3 linked regions of the Styela clava genome follow. The protein of the gene in region 2 purifies or fractionates together with the protein of the main gene of each other region. This does not show direct contact. Links are inferred from orthologs where the notes say so. Each region holds a gene or a part of one and is shown on either strand. Other genes may lie near its edges. The genes, in order: 7SK snRNA methylphosphate capping enzyme-like; spliceosome associated factor 3, U4/U6 recycling protein-like; speckle targeted PIP5K1A-regulated poly(A) polymerase-like.

The links.
Region 1: the proteins of spliceosome associated factor 3, U4/U6 recycling protein-like (region 2) and 7SK snRNA methylphosphate capping enzyme-like purify together in Homo sapiens (affinity purification with mass spectrometry; 6 studies listed by BioGRID and IntAct, counting the BioPlex papers as one, with this or other methods). This does not show direct contact. The link is inferred for Styela clava from reciprocal best matches to the Homo sapiens genes SART3 and MEPCE.
Region 3: the proteins of spliceosome associated factor 3, U4/U6 recycling protein-like (region 2) and speckle targeted PIP5K1A-regulated poly(A) polymerase-like purify together in Homo sapiens (co-immunoprecipitation; 4 studies listed by BioGRID and IntAct, counting the BioPlex papers as one, with this or other methods). This does not show direct contact. The link is inferred for Styela clava from reciprocal best matches to the Homo sapiens genes SART3 and TUT1.

The regions. Positions count from the first base shown.
Region 1 is NC_135252.1:268,474-275,791, forward strand, and holds the start of 7SK snRNA methylphosphate capping enzyme-like, read right to left. Parts: upstream 3,073-7,318; 5' UTR 3,053-3,072; intron 2,342-3,052; 5' UTR 2,076-2,341; coding exon 1,832-2,075; intron 1-1,831. UniProt on the Homo sapiens protein: S-adenosyl-L-methionine-dependent methyltransferase that adds a methylphosphate cap at the 5'-end of 7SK snRNA (7SK RNA), leading to stabilize it.
Region 2 is NC_135252.1:15,208,858-15,215,968, reverse strand, and holds the start of spliceosome associated factor 3, U4/U6 recycling protein-like, read right to left. Parts: upstream 3,085-7,111; 5' UTR 3,060-3,084; coding exon 2,949-3,059; intron 2,363-2,948; coding exon 2,237-2,362; intron 1,715-2,236; coding exon 1,609-1,714; intron 1,306-1,608; coding exon 1,121-1,305; intron 811-1,120; coding exon 705-810; intron 1-704. Other genes in the region: uncharacterized protein LOC120343445, read right to left, coding at 3,828-4,802; HIG1 domain family member 2A, mitochondrial-like, read right to left, coding at 5,865-6,230. UniProt on the Homo sapiens protein: U6 snRNP-binding protein that functions as a recycling factor of the splicing machinery. Promotes the initial reassembly of U4 and U6 snRNPs following their ejection from the spliceosome during its maturation.
Region 3 is NC_135255.1:8,653,325-8,660,596, forward strand, and holds the start of speckle targeted PIP5K1A-regulated poly(A) polymerase-like, read right to left. Parts: upstream 3,007-7,272; 5' UTR 2,964-3,006; coding exon 2,900-2,963; intron 1,291-2,899; coding exon 1,094-1,290; intron 622-1,093; coding exon 518-621; intron 257-517; coding exon 151-256; intron 1-150. UniProt on the Homo sapiens protein: Poly(A) polymerase that creates the 3'-poly(A) tail of specific pre-mRNAs. Localizes to nuclear speckles together with PIP5K1A and mediates polyadenylation of a select set of mRNAs, such as HMOX1.

The sequences.
Region 1 (7,318 bases), about 15 Mb from region 2:
TTCCGCATATTCTGCTACAGATCCAAAGTACCACTAATACAATTTGAAAGATAGTCTGTTGTCTGTCTATTTCAAATCACTGAGATATAAGAAATGTTACATAAAAAACAACAAAGCTTATACAAATACATAAGTAGGGGTGGGCAAAATCAAATAGCTTTTTCGAATCAAACAATTCGAATATTTTTTTTTCGAATAACGAATATTTTTAATACACAATAGGAATCCAGAACGTCAGAGGTCCATACTCCCTTTTAAAATTAAATAATGTAAACATTGCAAATTCAATGACAACGTTGATTTTATACTGGTTAATTTTGACATAACCGCTGATTATATTTATCCCGTTTGATTTAACGACCGAAAACGTAAATTTGATAAGATATATTCCAGCCATTTCTCTTTTTAGTATTAATTCTTTTTATATTTTGAATATTTATACGATGTATATAATATTTATACGTGTGTTCATATTGATGACAGATTGAGGTGTTATTTCAGGACCTGATTAATTTTATTATGATCATTCGTGTCGGCTTTGACCTCCCTATCACTGTGCGTGATTGCCACCAGGTAAACTCATGTTGATAATAAATGAAGCACAACCGGTGTTAGCACAAAACGATGTAATTTGCCGACGTTTCGAATTTCTATACAGAAAAACTTCATCAGGGCATGATATCGAAAGGACACACTGTTTGTAAATTAACTGTCCTAGTTTTAAGATAACAATGTTATCATTATCGACACCGGATTGCAGATATTTATGAGGACGATAATTGACTGATGTATGCTTTTCTATGATGTCTGTCTTATTTTTGTATCAAATAGATAACTCTGCAAAGCTGTGATACTAGAATCCTGAATGTTGCTTTGATTTAAAATAGTAAATAATAGGGATTTCTATGTGGTCATTGGGCGAGATGAAGTTATTACCGGTAAGTGCTTTTGTGTCTATTGAGGGTTAAGATCATTATTACAGCTAAAATCGTTACCAAGAAATTCACAATTTTATTTACGAAATTTGAAAATTCAACAATTAACTAGCCTATTTCGATTAGGTCACGCCCTAAATATTACTGCACAAAAGCTTCAAAATGTAGAAATAATGTATCATTTACGATGATGATAGGCTGGGCGCAACAAGTCGTAAACGAGCCAATGGGCATTGTTACAAGAATATTCAAGATTCATTACATCGTCTCCTATTGTTTACAATTTTACCACCATGCATGGCCAAGTGAATGTTTACATTTTCAAAACATTACTTTGTAAGGGAGGAATAGATCACTGAAAATACATGCCAAGCTAATAGAAAGTCAATTTAGAGGGATATGGCCTTATCTAGGCTAGAAGTGATGCTTTTTAAAAATCTGAGTTGCCATTTTCAAATTGATGCTATTTATATAACTCACATCTTCTGATGACCTAAATTTCCTTTTCCGACATGCATGGTCTCTTGAGAATGTCATTTTAACATTTTATTAGCAAAATAAACGATTGAAAATGATACAATTGCGAAAAAAGAAAGCAAAAAACATCTCAACGCAAAGATATTGAATTTGTGATTATACAAATTTGTCGTTTCTGTCTGTTTGTGAAAGCCGTGGGTAAATTCTCGTACAATTCCAGGCCATCGATTTTGCAACATGAGAGTTCCTTGTCCCAAGCAAAGTGATGGTACACATGGTACATGAATAGTAAAGTGCCATTCGAACATCATAATATAAGATTTGCTATTTGAATACTTTGACCAGTCCTATACACACTTATGAAATATTTTTATTTCTTTATCTGATTGATATAAGCATGTTTATAAAAATTGTCTTACCCATATTAGAATGTTCATTAAAACTGTTCCTTCTCTTGCGTCTTCTTGCTCTACCTCTATTTCCCGCCTGATGAATTTGATTAACATTTTCCTCACTTTCAACAAATTCAGGGGCACTTGAAAAATTTATGCCATTGTCATTTTTCAGAAAGTCTTCTTCATTTGTGATAATGGTATCAGTATTGGACAATTGTAAAATGCACCTTCCTTCTGATGAAGGAGATAATGTTTGCACAGTTGCCATTGCTAATTGAAACGATCAGTCGTTTTATGAAGTTCTGTTATACCAGTATACAGAGTATTTTTGGATGCAGATCTAGAATATATTCTGATTAGGATGAGATGCACTAGTCAATAGTGTCTCTAAGTTCGCACAGTAAAGACAAATTTATGTTATTTGTCTAAAATGATGGTCTTTATTTTTGCAGACTGTAAATTCATTAATGAAGTTTGTGATACAAAATGATTCATGATGCATGTAATTGAAAGATAATGGATAGAAGCTAGAACCTGTAAAAAAACAATATTGAGCACTTTTATTTTTTGCTAGTTTGTTCTTAGTTCCCCGGAATTTCCCAGATGTGCATAGTCAAATAGGCCTATTAAATAATATCGAATTATATGCAACCCTTCCATGTTTTCAAACAATAAAATACCAAAAATGAATAAGAGCTGGATCATTTCAAATGGACTAACTAAAAAACATTTATGATTTTTATGGATCCTCCCTGGCTTTGTTCTTCATAGAATGACCATAGGCCTATATCTAAATTTATTAGACAGATATTTGATGAAAGTGAATGAAAATAAAAATAACAAGATTAATTTTTGATTAATTGAACTAGCAAACAGACATATAATTAAACTGTTTTCCACACATAATTTCTTATCAACTTAATAATTCCAATTTTTGCTATGTGATAGGTCAATGATGTGCCAAGCATTAAACTAACCTAAGCACCATTAACACATGTAAATCATTGCGAGGCAATATTCCTTGATTTGGCCATTGTTTACGTGATATTGCAATCGCATGATTGACGGCGCAATCGGCCAAACAGATGTGTGAAGTAAATCTCGTTCCAGTGTGGTCGTGACCAGGGCCACGCCCCTCCAATTCCTCTCTCGAAAATGTAAGCGCCTGATTACAGTTACAAATCGCCTATCTGATCTGTATTATGAAAAAAAAACTTATATAGAGAGCCCGAAGCGTATACTCACAATTATGGAACCGCTTGTGCAGATAAACCTCTCCATTGATACAACATTAATTAAACGAACGAAAACACTCCCTCAACTGCTAACGCTGACACAACCGAACGCACCCAGGCAACCCGCCGTAATGAGATGTTGAAGTCGTACATGCGTTTTTAACCGATGTATCACGTGACTACAGTCAGTCGAGCGAACGTAATCTCTACGTTTTGACGCGGCGACGTTTCCTTGACGTTTCAAAACCGATTTTAACTTGTTTGTTGGACACAAAATGGGCCAATGGATCGTTTTGTTATTATGATGTTGTTGGTAGTGTTCTTTTTTATGTTGTCCTAAATTTTCAGTGAGTTGAAGATTGTCGTTATCGCTAAAACACTATTACTTTTATTTATTTTATTTGAGTGAGCGAACACGTAATACTTCTTTTATCAATACCTTCCCACCTAAAATAACCTTACTTGAGTTTTCGTTTGCTTTCCCGATTCTATAATCAGTTTTATTTATTTAGTTTTTATCAATTATTTTATCGTCTATTGCTGATTATGGAGTCGGAATAAACTTATACTTACTTATATTTCTAAATGTACCGGTATTGTTAAATTACGGGGGTTGGGTGTAGTGTATTTCCATAGCGATCGACGGATAGGATTTACATACCGTGTTTCCCCGAAAATAAGACAGTGTCTTATTTCATTTTTTTTTGAAAAATAACACTAGGGCTTATTTTCGGGGGATATCGTTAATTTTCATTTATCAAAAACAAAATTTCAAAGTAGAAAATTACTATTTTTTTATTTCGTCAAAAAGCATAACATGTCGGTATAAGAAGGCAATGGTAACCTAAAATTTGCGCTTTCGCGTTAGCAAACTCATCCACCATCTTCGTCATATCAATTTGGGTCGAGCGTTCAGATTCAATACTCAGCAGCGCCAGTTCACAGAGCCTTTCCTGCGACATCGCGCTCCTGAGATAATTTTTTATTAATTTCTGTTTCGAAAACGAACTCTCGGCAGTTGAGGTAGTTACGGGCAACGTTAGAATGATCACCAAGGCTGTACAAATATCAGAAAAACTCAAATCTTTTCTCTTTGTTTGTTTTGTGTAATATGATACGAAAACCCCCCTTTTTTTCCGCTGTGTATTCTTCGGGAAAGGCCCTCGGGGTCGACACGGGCCTGCGTCTATTATAATTTTTTTGATTTGTGCGTTGATTTCAACGCCAATGAAGTTTCCCATGTCCGATGGATACTGGCATTGTGTCAGCTTCGTTAGCGAATCGTCATCTAAGAATTAAGTTTTGGTCGTTTTTACACCAAATTATGCAACTTTTTCAATTTGCTTCAAAAATCAGTAGCTTACCTGTGATAATTGTCGTGTAAGTTTTGGAAGAAAATTCATTCGCGCCGGCGCCATCACTTTGATCACTGAAAATTTCAAGGCAATTGATACTGTTATTAAACGACCCCAAAACGCTCCAAAGTTGCAAAATTTTGTTTATTAGCATGTTTATTAGCATCGAACCCTTTTCATCAGTAGCGCTTGCAGCAGCTTGCTCCAAAGCTGCGTTGGTGGGTGTCAATATTTTATTCAATATATCTTCATCATATTTATGCATTAAAAACGCTAAAATTGGCAATGGTATGTAATATCTATCAAACCTATACATTTAAACTTATGTACGGCATTTTTCGATTTTCTGTAATCTTCTTGTCATAAGTGTAACGTCATTATACCCTTTAGTAGCAGTTCAATACCTTGTTAAGGATACATACCGGTATATCCAGAGGCTCTTGTTGTACTCGTAAGACGTAAAAGATCTAACTAAAGTCTATAAAAAGGGTGAGACAAGTGATTTGGATATTGTTCTCGGTGACATCATAAAAGGTATTAATTTTGTTCAGTCGCATATTCCAAGAAGCACAGAATATTTTCAGAAATTAGCAAAGACATTAAAGCAAATGATTTGAGGCTTACGCCGAAGTGCGCTGGTTATCGAAAGGAAAAATTTTGAAATGAGTTTTCTCGATTGCGATCTGTCTGTTTTCCTAACCCAAATTAGACATTCGATGGCCGTTAGTTTTCAAGATATCTTTTGATCAGCAATATTTGAAATCACAATTCAGCTGTGTTTTATTTTTAAAACTAATAGCAAGATTCCGACTCATAAAATGAAATTGAAGTTGTAGCAATTATTTTATTTGTCTTTTAAAAAAACAATTAACAATAAAGTTGATAATCTTCGTCATCGTATAAAATATATATATCGAGGATTCGGAATAATAACAAAACGTCGGGGTCTGTGACGAAACGTGTAGATATAGACAGAGTTGATGAATCGTAATATTTTGTGAGAAAGCAATAGATCCTCTGAGAATTGGTGAGAATATTTCGAAATATTAATATTTATTTTGTCAATTTCAGCTCGGTGTTAAAATATTGTAGATTTCTCTGTTGATTCAAAAGTAAAATAATACAAAAGTTTGAAATAGAAAAACCATGTAATGAGTCTCAACTTTTGTGTGATTACTTATGAAGTTATGATTTTTGATATATTGAGTGATTATACATGTTTACCAATGAAAACGTTTGTTATTTTCTTTGCGGAGCAGAATGCTTCTCAAAATTGATGAGTGCATTTTTTGTTATAGGAAGTTGATATGGGTTTGTTTCTAAAGACAGTGCCGGAGTTCTACGTGTCAGTAACAAATCCAAAACAAAATTAATCATGAGGTCATCAAATATTTACTCAATGAAAAACAAACACTTCAGTAGGGTTGTGCCGGAAGTTTGCAAAAATTGCCTCTATCAAACTCGAAATCAGAAATCAATCAATGCCAAGTTCTAAAACTTGCACAATTTAACACCTGCGACAGTGCTTAAAATAAATTCCAAAAAAAAAAAAAATTATTAGTCTTGCTTGGTTTATAAATGAAAATATACTTTTTCTTGGTACCAAACGTAGTTCTATGAAGAACATTTACAGGTGAATAGTTTAAAAATATACTCGACGTTTTGTACAAAGGAAATTTGAATGGAGGAGGGCATGTTTCACATGTTTTCTTATTTTAAGGTCCAATTATTTTGTTGTCTAAATACGACGATACTTATGTAACAATGTTTTATTCGGACGATGTGAACCGAAACAATTTCTCGACTTTTAGACTTTAGAAATTTGCTAGAATCATGGAACGATTTCGCGATTGATCGGAAGGGAAAAGTGTGATTCCTCGTCGGACGAGACGCCAACGGACAATCAATACCCCATTTTTAAGATCTTAACGACAGAAACAAATTATATAACATACTCATATAACTTTGTATTTTATTCAACCAAACAGTAATATAGGCAGAAAATGTCGAAATAACAAAATTTCCGGTAGACCGGCAGTAATCTGCGGTTGGGAATCACTGTTTTCTACGACACGGCAAGTCAAAGTTATTGCAAAAAATCTAAAAGACATTAGTAAGGTCCGGTTCGATTGAACAATGGGTGTTTTTGTTCCGTACTATGCTTCTTTTCTTGGGTTAAAAATAGATACAGTTCTCGGGTGATATTTTAATTTAGTTTTAAAGATAATGGGAAGCATGTCAAAAAAAATTTCACATTCATTCTATGTGACATTGTGGAATAACGTATTCAAGTGCTGTTTAATCCACATCCTCGCCGATTCGTTATCTGTGGCCCGCGTCACATTCGGAGAGTAATAAAAAAAACGCATTCCGTGTTGTTTTGTAATAAAATTAATCAGAAAATCTTTTGACATATTGTTACATCACTAATGTCATTAAACTGACTAGTGTTATGGCTAGCTGAGGTAACTAGCAAAGTTGAGTGATGCGCTTGGCAGTCTAAATTATTATCTGGCTTTCTATCTTTTTGGCCGGGAATATATGCTTACGATGTAGGCATCATAGAAAACTAAAAATAGAATGTAGATTCTATTAGCCTGGGATGGCTATGTCTGATAGCTATGTGTTTGCACAATAAAAGCATTCGTTTTGTATTGCACTGTTTACCTATTCTTGGCACTATTGTGGCCCGCGAACAATGCAAAAATGATTTTGTGACCCGCGGAGCCGACAACCTTGGACCACCCTGAACTAGAGTATACACGGTGATCTACAATATATTTTTAATGAGATAAATACCGCGAACATGATCGCTTCACGCAAAAAATAATTTCAACCTCAGTTCTCTAACTTATTTTATTTTTAAAAACAATCTGAATCAGATTAAAAAGCTTAATATAACGGAAATATCGGTCTACATT
Region 2 (7,111 bases):
AGCATGTTGCGCGACAACGTCGAAAAAACATAAGACTTTATCTAAATAATATACTAGCCTCAACTATAACATAGTCTACAACATTTTTATTACTAGGGTATTACTAGGGCAAAAAATATTAATAAAGTTGCTTGCATAGAGCATGGTTTAATAAAGCAAATTCTGTGAATAGGCCTCATACAAAAAAAAACTGGACAAATGGACCTTTCCCCGAGCATCGACTTTCTTGTTTACTTCGTGACATTGGCCAATCAGCAAGATGAAAAAAGTGACGTAACAATGCTCCCTTTTCGCCTCCGCTCAGACACTTTTTTCACTCAGACAGATTTTCAAGCGTGGTCTTAAACATTACCTTGTTTTCGCGTTTTTGAACTCTATTCATTAGTTTTCAGTTGTGTTTCGGTAACTTAAATATAAATCAGATAATTCAATGATTACTCTGTCTTCCTAGGAGTTTTAATTTAATTGCAGTAATAAAAAATTAGTATATAAATAGCTGTGATAGACTAGGCTAAAATTCTTTATCGGTAATTTTGAAAATCAGATTGTTGTATGCGATAAACCTTAATGATGGTTTGAAACACTGTGAGAGCAACAAGTCATTGTTAGCCATGGTTTATCTTTCAAGTTACAATCTATGCTATTTAAATAAAATAAAATAAATTTGTTCAAGAACAGTATTACCATTGGTCCATTGTACTTACCTAGCAGGGGAATGGCGAGTTGTCGCTTGAAGAGAGTTTTTATTTTATTCGATTGTTTTTTGATTTTTTCTTGTTGTTCGGCTGTCGATACACTTCCAGGAGCAGGCTGTTGATTTGAAATATAGAGTTCAAAAAACTAGTTAGAGGAAGATTACACATTTCTCATATATACATGAATATAAATAGTTTCTATATTAAATTTGATACTGTAATTTGGACTCATTATGTATGCAGGCAACTTTTACATACCTATTACTGGTTAGAAACATTTTGAAACATATGTGCCTTGATAGATTTTTTACAATACAGAGTCAACCGAAAACTGGAATAAACAGGTTACATTCAAGAAAGCTATAAAAAATACAAATGTTAGGTTTTAATCTCAATGCGTGCCATACTGGTAAGTAATAACCAACCTGTAAATTTTGTAACATTGCATTTTCAAACTCTCTGTACATTTCCCATAACGCAGCACCTTCTGTTACATGTAGGCCTACGGCTGTTATAGATCTTTCCATAACATCACGAATTCTATTCAAACCATCTTCTGAACCCAACCATCTTATAGAATATTGAGCATATTCAAGCCATACCTCTGGACCTAATAAAATGAAAATATAAAAAAATAATATTAACTGAAGTCAAAAATTCTAAATAAATTTCACCTTTATGCAGTATGGTCAGGGTTGGCCATTATCGTATTATCAAAGTGCATTTTGAAATAATATTTACGAATGTGGAATACTGAATATATTCCCAATTGCCAATATCTTGGAAAGTAAAAAAATAAACCAGTTATGTCAAACCAAATGCCAACACAAGTATGTTGTATTCTAATTGAACATACCTAACATATTGCCTATAATATATTATACAATTGAATTAAAATTGTCGCTTAACTCACATATGTAATCCTTGACAGCTTTTTCAAATAATTCAACAATTCTATTATGATCTTCTTCCGATTCCGCATATTTTTTTTCATCTTCAATCCACTCCAACCAGAGAGCCTAGGATAATTAACAATATATTATAGGAAAAATTACCCTTTGGGGGGGGATTTTGATATTTTAGGGAGAAAATATCACTTTGTATATGATGTAATTTCACAAAATCGATTTGGTTAATTAGTATTGTTGTAATACCCATTAATGAATTTATTATAAACTATATATATAAACTGTGCAAAAGCCAACATGCCAGTTGCCCGTAGCTCTAATTTCAGACCTATTAAGATTGCACAAATAATCGATCATAGTTTTTATGCATAGTAAAGGAGGAATGAAGTTGTCCAAAATAGGCAAAAAGAGGAATTTATCGAGAAAAGGTTGGAAACCACAGATATAAACTATGACAATTTACATAAATTAGTTCCACTGAGAAGAAATTTTGGTGCAGCTATATCATGAGATCATCCACCTATGTCGCCTATCGAGTTACAGTCTGGGGTTTAAGTTGGAGAAAAAGCGATTGATCTCATAGTATACTGGCGCCGTAAATTTTCATACAATTTACAAATATTTCAGTCTTACCTGAGTTAGTGGGAATATCTTTGCCATAACATTACGAGCATCTCTTAATTTTTCAAGTTCTCCAGTTTTTCTCAGAAGTTTAATAATTGTGATGTGAGAATGATAGTCGAATGGAGATCTGGACAACTAAAAACAATACAAGGTAAATAACCAAATAGAAATAAAAACTTTACAATGGGCCAATTCTAAATCTTACATTGCTTCGAATCATAAGTGGACAACAGCTTATTTTATTCTCGATACTACTGACACCTATTGTATGTTGATGTTTTTCTAATCTGCGTTTATAACCATATTTATTACGAGTATATTGGTAAAAAATTGAAGCACCTTACAATATCAGTGCTATACATGATTATTTACATTGGGTTGAAAGGCCAAAGATTACAAACAAACCAAGAGTATCTATCCCATGGATGACAAACCACTGACCCGCAGGTCACAAAGTCACGGATTATTGCAAAAAAAAACGTTTCAACATATTTCAAATGAGGAAAAAATTTGCTATAAGACCGCCTCAGTTAAATCTATCAATATGTGTAATGAAAAATGAAACGTCAAGTGCCTCATTGATGCAGACATTGATTAAATCTACGGCTCACTTTTTCGTTTTCATGATAAAAATCTAATGAGTAAGCCAATCAGTACAAAAATCTTCGCCATCTCTGATCTATACTATAACATTTTGTTGAATAAAAATCAAATGAAATACTTTCTCATTCAATTCCTCAATTTCCTTCAAGGATTCTTCCTCAACATCCTCATCACTTGATAATTCATCTTCTTCTTTATCTTCCTCCTCCATTCTCTCCTCAACCTCCATTTTTAAGACTTTATAACAAAGAATATAGAAGACTAAAACAAAAAGATGCAATTTTTAATAGTATATTGTAAGCAAAATAATAAAAATATTAACCATAGAATCCAATACCGACAAGTATGATTATTTTGTAAATCAGAAAATATACCATATTGTACTCAAGATCAACAAAATATTGCTTTTATTGAATTATTTTTTACAGGCAGTTCGAATAATCCGAATAATCCGAAACACAATTTGCAAGCAAAAATTATTTCCAATTTTGAACAAATTCACTTCCTCTGGCATTCCTAATTTAGTGCAGTAAATATAGTCTGCTATAAACCTCCTGTTACAAAATATTACATATTGTACATAACACATTGTAGTTTTAAAAAAAATTCTTCCTATCGAATACATAAATTTGAATATATATCCTCCCATAACAATTGTTTATCATTCCTGTCATAATACATCACAAATTTCAATGCCAAAAAAATGAATTAAAAATTACCGTCAACTTTACAAAAAAACAAATGTAAAGATAAAATGATTATATCATTATATAGTATCATTGAGTACTGGTATAAGTTGAATGCTTTGATGTTTGAATGGATACATTTGCCTTAGTAAATATGCAAAATTACAAGAGGCTGCACTCCTACGACCAAAGTCCCCTATACCAACAAAAGGAGGTATTAAGATGTGATTTTGGTCGACTAGGTGGCAGGGGATATGTGTCAGTTTATATTCATTTATTAGACAACATGGTGTAACGTAAACTACAATAAATCAGGGTTTGGGTTTTTTAATATTCCCAACAGCAGGTATAACAGTTGTTTTATGAGTCAAAATTTTTTCTGTGGAACTTCTCGAACCTTGCTGATCCCATTTTGATTTTTTTACCGGATCCCCAGAACCACCTTGACTTGAGGTTGAAGATGGCTTTTTAACTGTTCCTGTAACAAACTCAACCTTAGTTTTACGCTCTTTCTCCCTCTTGGCCATATCTTCACGTTGAGCTCTTGCAAGTTCGTCATATTTAGGAACTTTTCTCCATCGTTTTGGATTATAGTCCTGAGGTGGAAAATTAGTTCCTAATTCATCAATACCTAAATATAGAATCAGTTTATCATAAATACTAGGATTGCGAAAATCTTTTCGTGACTGAATCGCTTGATTTAAGTCCTCCCCATGTGTCACTTTCCGTTCCATAAATCTAGTAATTTTATCCTGTAAACTGCTTGAACATCTTCCTTCCGGCTCAGGTGGTATGCTTACTTCATCAACAGAAGCAGATCGGAGTTTTTTTGCCAGATTGGTAGCGCTCTCAGAACTTTTTCGTTTCGCTCTTCGCTTCGCTTTTGCCATTAATGTATCACCAAGATTGCTTACATCATCATTTTCCTCCCCTTCACTACTTTCTTTTCCTCCATCTTCTTCTGCCTCATCCACGTCACTCCCATCATGAATCACCGAGAGATCCTCAACATCTTTTATAGCATCTTCCGGATCATTTGAGTCTTTATCTTCCTCCTCTTTTTCCTCATCATCATCATCATTGATATGTTCATCTGGATCTTGCCAAATATCTTCTTGATCTTCGATAGTCCCCTTAGGTGAAGGTGATTTCGGTTTATCGTTAGTCTTCTCTTGGGGCTCTAATGTTTGAGTTTTCTCTTCTTTTTCTGGTTTTTCTTCTACTTTTTTTTCTTCATCTTCCTCATCAGATATATCATATGAAGCAAGAGCGTCTAAGCCTGACATTATTTTTATAAAATATATCTGTAATTGGAAGAAAAGTATTTCAACAATAATTAACAACAATAATAACTACCGGTAATCATAGTTTGAAGCAATTTCCACTATTCATTTCAAAGAAGTTTGGAAAATATACGTTTCACTCAATGCCTTAACACAGCTTGTTCAAGTTTCGCCTTTTTGGTCAAAGCCATCGAGTGCATTCATATTAGCAGTGTTGTCATTATTACACTGCTGTCAGGCAAATTTTCATTTATTTTGGGGGCCAAGATAGGAACTAATTATACCTAATTTGATACAAATTAGTTAAAAATTATTATTATAGAGGTATTGATAAAATGGACAGTTTGTTCTGAGATATACCGAGAAAAAATACCAGGATGTAGTTCGGGTGTCACTACAAAATCCGCAATAATTGGCACCAAATGTTAGAGTAAAAATGATCACAGTTATTATCACTCATACCTTCTCAAAGAACCAATATAAGCATTGGTCACAGACAAATTTAATCTATATTTAGACAGATTAAAATCAAAACACATTTCCAGATTTAATTATTAATTTGACATAATATATGTTCCCCTAAACATAATACATCCATATTATACAATTGATAAAATGAAAGCATGGATATATTACGATTCATCTTACAAGTAAACCAGAAATAAAAAGCCAAAATGCAGTAAAATACTTTAAATTGAAAATTATTATTTTTAATATCACTCGTACATATGAAATTCATTAAACGTCTTTTTCATTTTTATTATCAAGAAAATTATTGTTATAACTATTTCAGACATTGGCACATTGTTAGGAAATCAAGATACCTGAAACAGCGATGCTTTTGTTATTATAAACATGAAAATTACACCGCCAATATATTGATGTTCATGTCTCATGGTAAAATGCATTTTTTTAATGCATGGATAATAGTTTAATTTATTAATTACTTTAATGGTGACACAGCAGCTTAGGCATGCACAGCTTATGACTGTACGGACCGTATGTCAAACTTTTTTAATTCAATTCAAGGCAAGATTAAAAATCTGATCTGTAGATAATTTATCATTATTCATTGCTTTCTCGTTGTTTACGGTCAGCTCTAATTCCTTCAATGGCTATACCTGCAACAATAGCCATCACAGTGAAACCCTGCGCAAGTATACGCCCCCTCATCATATTTTGTGATACTTTGGCATTCCCCATGTTCAAGATACCACGTGTCAAGAAAAATACTGTTCCGCCCAGTCCTAATGGTATAAAAGGATTTTCTTTAAACTTTCTCCACACCATCTGAGCAGTCGTTTCTTGATCAAATATATTAGCTGATGTATACTGGGGCATACTGGGATTTATAAATTGACGAGGTTGAATTCCATCAGGAAGCTGTGACAATATTTCAGCCTCTGTCATTTGTTTCTTTTCTCCAGACATTTTGAATTGGTACAGGTAATGCTGTAATGGTATCGGTAGTCTAAGTAATCTGGTTCAACTTATCCTATGTGTCCGCACTTTGTAAACCCAAAACTTCTGGCTGAGTGTTATATTTCCAATTATCCTCTTTAATTTCTGTTAGAAGATGTTTTAGATCTGCCAATCGTTGCTGATGAAGTTCTTTTTCAGTCTCTGATCTTACTTCTTCTATTTCCACGCCGATGTCTATAAACTCTTTCAATAGTTCGGCGTTTTGTTGCTTGCTCTGACCGCTTTCAATAAACGAGGATTTTGCAGTCGACATTAACATACAACTAGCAAGTCACTATGACATTGAATAAAACGAAAACGAACCTTGTGCGTGTTTGCAACAGCAACGTGAGTGTCCTCTGGACTCTGATACTTACGTCATGTATGAATGACGTCAGTTCAAAATGACACCATATTTCGTAAGAGGGAAATTACGTTCAGGCACTTTGTAAAAACCTGTTTCGCAATGGTTGTGATTACTGAATGCCTGATTAGTTCAAAACAGAAAAATCAAATATTATACGTTTCAATCTTTTTTACGCAGGTTTACTACACATTTATTTATACTAAAGCTTCGATCACGTTTTTACTTCACTTAGGCAACCAAGATTTTATTACTTTTCATCCTCGCGTGCCCAAAATTCCATAAAGTACCAGGCTTTGAGAATTTGGAATGATATTAACGCAAACCTGAATGAAATTTCCAATTTTTTAATTATTTTCCAAGAAGTATTTCCAGTCTTTTCTGAATAAGTACTGATTCACAACTTTTCAACTGTACGTTTTTTTTTTATTTGTGTGATATAAAATTGAACGCTTTTTCTTGACGCTATCGTTTTAAATTTTGTCTT
Region 3 (7,272 bases), on a different chromosome or scaffold from region 2:
ATTCAATAACTTATACATGACCAGTACTTGCAATAAAATAGGAAATTGATTGTTTAATAAAATATGACTGTACAATTCTTAGTCCTTGTTTTGTGATATAAATAGTAATTTAGTCATATTTGGAATATTATTAAAACAATGATAACTGACATCATCTGCATCCATAAGAGCTTTCCAAACATCAGGATGCATCTGTGTATGTACAATGTGACGTTGCTCAAAGTTTGATCTTTTTGATGTTGGTAACTTGACTTCCCTGCAAAAAGTGTGTTAGAAAAGATATTAGGTGCCTAGGGAGAGAAAGAAAACTTATGTTTCATAGACTGAACACTGAAGGGTGAAGGCTATAGAGGTTTATATACAAATAGTTCATTGGTCTATTAGTGTGAAAAATACACTATAATTTTCAATATCTCAAAGCTTATATCAATATGAAAACTGCTACATTTTTGTGAATAATATAATATGAATGAAAGAATGATATTTATCTGAGGTGAAGACGAAATTACACACCAACCTTGGTTTAACAATAATGGATTTTGATCCGAGAAAATGTTCTTTTACTTGCAACACTTTTTTCACAGAATCAACTTCACTGAATTCGAGAATGGCAAAGCGATTCTGAAATGGGAAATATTGTCAAACAAAAAAAAAATGTAAAAATACCACAAAAACTAAATCGTTCTATATCTGAAACACAGGCAGATAGAATCTAGTAGGCCTAAGTGTTAACTTAACGATGCTGTTATCACAAGTTAAAGATCTTGCACTCAGGGCGCAATAAATTCGGTAGCCTCAGCAACGATGAATTGAAGTTTGCAGTATTCCCAAGAACAGTATCTCCATATATATTAACAGTGACATGTCCATAATAGACTTTAGTTTGAAATGAAGGCCAGAAAACACCTCAATCGGTCAAAAATCAAATTCCTGCATAATATGGGCCACGCATGAAAAACAATGGACTCAAGTCAGCAAACTGAATATGAACCTTATATAAAAGTGGTCTCTTAACCGTTTCAAATTTAATTTGAGGTCACTGATGTTTCTCATTTATCCAAGGTTTAGTAAAACTACATTACTGCCAACTTACATTATTTTTATCCATTGTTATCTTTGCAATTGATCCATATTTTGAGAAATAATCAGCAAGAGATAATTCTATTGCTTGAGGACATGTAGAGAATCCTGTTATGTACAATGATCTTTTCGCCTCTGATTCCAATTTCTGTATTCTTTCAATATTTTTAACATGCTTTTTGCCTTTTAAATGTCCAGCTAATGATGCTTCTACAAGAAAAGAAATAGGAAACAAACTAAAATAATGTCAGCCTATGTTGGGAATGAGATTAGTTAGCCAGTTAGAGGTATTTGTTACAGATGCATGAAGTTGCATCTCTCGTTGACTTGAAAAAAAAGCAATTCCATGGTTAGTTTCGTTTCAGGTGATGGTTCAGGTTTATGATTAGAGTTCGATCCATCAATGATTTTTATTGAGATTTCAGGATTTGTTGATGAAAAGATGAATTCAAATCCTGGTTGATATAAATATGGGGTCTCGTGTAGTTTTGTATCACAATAACTTCCAGTGGGCGTGGCGTAACAATTTTTGCACACCCCCCATCTGACTACGTCATCTGAAAATTACATCCCTATTCCTTCATAGTGACGTAAGAAGGCCCGCCAAAATATAAGGATGATTGTGCATAAGGCGCAGACGATTATCTGTAGTCGAGCAAGCTATTTCTCTCGTTATAGCCATCATGATATGAAGGTTGAGTTTGTTATTGTCGGCGCACAAGCCAGCTCGAGCTGTGATTTTGACGTCATAGTGACACAGTTTTTGGATTACGTAGTCAGGTGGGGGTTGGGAATAACATATTCAATAATGGTTAAGACAAGCCTACTAAAAGTACTTGTGCTGTTGTGGTACTTAACTACTTACTAAATAGACCCAAAATTTGAAAGACCAGAAGATGGGACTATGTACAGAAATATTATAACGTACTTGTATGTATGTTTATTAGTCTCGTAGACGTAGTAGTAAGCAATATAAAAAATTGACAATATTAATATTGGAGACGGGGCGCATGCACAAGACCGTACTGGCCTAAAACACAAATGTGCGACATGCACCCCTTTCGACAAGTACAGAACAAAAAATGTTAGATTAAATGCATATGATATGGTCCCTTATACAGACCATTGTGTAAGGTGGGGCAATGGGTTGGTGTGGCAAAAGTGGTAAGGGAGGAGTACACAGAACTGTTTACACAAGGGAGTTTATAAGACAAGACAATATATATAAATAGGGACAACACAATACACCAAATACATAATGATAAAATAAAAATTTAGGCGTAGATACAGCACCCTTGGGGTCTCATGTAGTTTCTTACCTAACATACTTCTAGTGGGCGTAGCATGACAATTTTTTTCATGTATCAATCCTAACCCCCACCTGACTGCACAATCCAGAAATTACGTCATTACGACGTCACAGTGACGTAATAGAGCCTGTTAAACTATACGAACTGCCATCCAAGACGCGCAAACGAGCACCCGAAATCGAACAGTTATTTCTCTCGTCGCAACGATTCCAATAGGAGAGAGACCGATAACGTCAGTCAGTTCTTTATCGTCGGCGCCAATACCATTTCGGTCGATCGTGCGTATATTTGGCAAGCTCTATGACGTGATTGTGATGTCGTAGTGATTTAATTTTTGGATGGCGTAATCAGATGGGGGTTATGATTAACATATAAAAAAAAAAAAATTGTCATGCTACGCCGACTAGAAGTGGGTTAGGTACGAAACTACACGAGACCCCACCCTTGAGTGTGCTTCTCTAGTGTGCTTTAGTTTTATCTTTAACATAACATGGTACTAGTGAACTAACCATTTGGAATGTAAACATCACATTTGTCGCAAAATATTCCCTTGCCTTTCACATCTTCATCCATCGTGATCCTTCGTCCTTATTGGTGGAAGACCTCTGTGAAGTTAGCAGATAATCACGAAATTGGAGCTGACAGAATCGCAGAAAATTCCTACACGTAAAATCAAATGTTCCCAATCATTTTGTGCTAGGAAGTGTATATTTTGAGTGATTTACCGATAGCAATTAAAGTAAAACAATTAGTCATCACACTATTCATATTTTTAATATATATTACCACGCTAAAATTACTGTAACAGTCCCAATTTCAAATTCCAAATTGTATTAAAGGGTTGTTTTAAATTGACTGAATTTCAATATTGACTCGATTCGGGGCAGGTATTTCTCGAAAATCTCCAATGAAGCCGGCATAACGACCTATTGGTAGAAAAGAAGAATCCTTATAGATTCGAATTCATCATGACAGAATACTAACAGCACGTTTTGAACTGGCCATATATAATACCAAACATCAGTGGCGGCACGTGGTCATTTTGATAACCGGGGCAAGCTACTGCGGGACCAAGTAACCCCAAGTCAAGGATGAGCGCTGTAAGTTCTCCCATCATTTTATGAGTATAAAAACCATTCTATCGGTAACAACCAATCGGCAAAAGCGACAATTTTTAACGATAAGAAAGTGTCTTTAAAACCGGTCCAAGGCAAGGGATTAATAAATATAGACATAGTTTATTTTGAAACCTCTTTCAAAAGGAAAGGCAATATTTACCCAGATAAATACAATGACATATTAACAGAAACTTCGGGAAAGCAGACAAAACCTAAAATAAGGTTTAAAACGTTACTATGAAGAAAGGAAAGTTATGCAAAGATAAGGACATGCGTCGCTCACTCATAGATATATATGCTGCTATACTTCTACTGCTTGAACATATATGCAACACGCCGCGGTTTCTTGGAAGCAAAATGCTCAATAACGCGCTGATTAAAGTCATGCATCCCAGAAATAACGTCTCTGTGAATGGATAAAACATCCAAGGAATTTAATCTATCTTGCTTCATTGTGTTTCTGAGATACGTTTTAATACGCTTCAGCGTGCTGAATGTTCGCTCTACGTCGGCGGAAGAAATAGGCGTCGTCCAAATGATGTCCAGAAATTTTGCAGACGCCGCAAAGGTAGTTACCAGAGTGTTATCTATGAGGAACCCATAGAGCGCGCAAGTTGATGTGATGTTCAAAAAAGTTTGATTGGTGTATATACATCGCAATTCATTTTCCAATTTACCCACGTTTATCATGGGGTAAAATTTGGAGACAGTAGCCAACAAATGGATGCGAAATTACGTGCAAATTTTGAAAATTTTTTGGGGTTCATCAAAGAGAACGCGGCAAGGTGTTCAGTGCGCAGACGATCGCCTATTTGATTCACCAGAATGTCACAGCATTCCTTTGCAGACAAAATCAAACGCTGCGTTGTTTGCCCTCGGCGTAAAGAAGCACTCCATGTGTCGTCGTATTTTATTGTTTCCCGGATACGAGATACAGCATCGCAGAAGTCTGAAATACACGACTGCACAGACGCTCCATCCATTAGCCTTGACTGCAATGCGCCGTATAATACATCCACGTGATAGAATATTGTGGAGAAAAAGGCGAGAAAAAATGAAAACTCACCATCTTCTAGCAGACGCTTTAGACTAGAGATGTACCGATGTATCGGTATCGGGTATCGGTATCGGCCATGTATCGGTATCGGTTAGATTAAGGCCGATATTTCCGATATATTTACCTTTTTGATATGGTCCAGAATGTTTTAAAAGATAAGTTGGAATACTACTTTTTATTTTATTTTTTGTCTGGAGAGATCGTGAGCTATGAGCCATACATGTCCCTACCCCCGCGAGAGAATATGATTCACGTATTTTTAGCTATTTTCGCCGTCAAATTTTTATATTGACATTTTTAATATTACATAGTAATTATGAAGAAATATATCAACACGGCACATAACAAAAAGCAATTAGGCGCCCAGTTTTAAATCATACAGTGGAATTGGGGTCCTTATTAACGGCACATGGACTTTTGGCACGGGTATAAATTCTGACTGTTTGTCGTCAAGTACGAGTGTCATTTAGTCCGACGACATCGATAAACTAAATTCCGACACAATTATCCCTCTACGCAGATATTAATTTTGTTTAACAACATAATTTCTTTATAGATATATTGACATGACCGCCTAGCCCTAGAGCGCCTAGAGTCCTAGACTGTCTCAAAATATATGATAGCAATTGTATAATAATATAAAATAGTAAAGTAAAAAAACATCCTCGACGGTTATAGGTAGGCCTTCTTTTGGTCGGTGCTGAATGATATTCTTTCATGCTGGCTTTGACTTATTGCGTCGACGATTACGATTAGCCACGAAATAAAATATTTGAAAAATGCTTTTAATTTGAACGTAGGACGGCGGCTCTAGAATGTGTGGGTGATATTCGATATTCTCTTAAACACGAATAACGATATTCGAAGGTCGCGATATTAACATTAAATTCAAATTGGACATCCCGGCTTATGAGTTTTCTAATTGAACACCGAGATTACTAGCGTTACTGTACAGTGTATCTTAATCAGTTGAAGCAAACACCAAACATTAATTTCATATTATGTGATATATCATTTTTCGATCTGAAATAATGTGTACTATGAACAACGCTCAAAGACCATTGTTTTAACCCGTCTGCCCTACACAGCACACCTAATTAAGTAATATTTACATAGTATCGGTATCGGAATATCGGCCTTTTTGTAGTATCGGCGTATCGGTATCGGCTTTTTTAGCTGGTATCGGATCGGTATCGGTATCGGCGACAAAAGTGGTATCGGTACATCTCTACTTTAGACCTGCCGCCTCCCTGACAGAGCGTTCGTCCCAAACCGGAGAGCTCTGAATGCCATTGAAACACTCAATGAGCTCAGACCTAATTTCGGACACGCCCTGCACCACGCGTGATTGGAAGTTCCAACGTGTTGGTGCACAAGCTGGGAGACGGCGGCTACATATCTGGCGAAGGAGGTCAGAGCGCTTCAGCGAAACGGAAAAAATGAAGAAAACCCCGAGACATTTGCAAAAAATATACGGACGAGAGGGGTATCAAGACACATATTTTTAATAACGAGGTTAAATTGGTGTGCATAACAATGTAAAAAATGCGCATGAGGAAAATCTTCTTTTATATAAACTTTAACACCATGTTTCGACCCACTCATGACTGCCGCGCCGTCATAAGTTTGAGCTATCAATTTTGACTTCGCGTTGTAAGGCTGTAACACTTCTTTCAGTACAGCCGATATCCCGCAAGCCGTGCGATCAACGATTGGTACAAAGCTGTGAAATCTCTCGGTAGGTTTACCATCTTTCACAAACCGAAAAATCACAACCAGTTGGGAAACGCACGTGATGTAAGTGGTCTCGTCAAACTGAATCGAAAGGAACTGGCAATTCTCAATTTCCAGAGCCAAATGTTGTAAATAAATTTTATACATTGAGTCGAGCAAATCATTTTGGATATCCTTAGATGTCCCTTTCGAAACAGTTGCGGCATCAAGATGATCTCTCAATACTGTATCTATATAGGGATGCGGTGTATTCCACCATATCCAAAAATACCCCTCTATTAGAAGAGCCAGCCCGTTCATCGTGCCCACGGAGGGACAGCTCGTGACAACCAATGAACTTCAAAACATCTATCAATCGACCGAGAACATGGCGGTTTTTCTCGACGTTTCGGTTGTGCCGACGAATAGAAACCGCGCGTCCTTCATCCAACTGTGTTGCAATATTAACATTTCCGAATGTTCGGTATTTTACTGCATTGTCCAGATGCTCCATAGAAGATTGATGATCCCTGGCACGCTCGGAAAGATGTTTAAGATCTCTAAAACCAAATTTACACCAACGGTAGCAAAAAGTAGGCAATAAAAACAAAAAAGTGCATTTTTGTCCCCGCTGTAACACAACCATTCGTGTTTTTTATACCAAGTTTCTGCGCAGAATGTACGCCGACGCTTTCCTCCGTCATGGGATTGTTCCAGTGAACAATTTTTTGGTTGATAAGGCCCAAGACGTTGTACCTCTAATTTTTGTTCCAGCGGCAGCTGCGAAACGGAGTGCGAAGTAGTGCATCAACCTTATTCATTATGAAGTCTACGGCTAAGAAATGCGAAGCCGGGAAGAAGTGAGGAGCTCAAAAGGAATGTGGAAAATCGAAAGCAAATGGACTAAAGGTCTCTAACTGATTCAAATAGCGAAACAAGCGACAAAAACGAAGGCGAGGAAACTATCAACTCTTCAAGCAACCAACGAACGAGA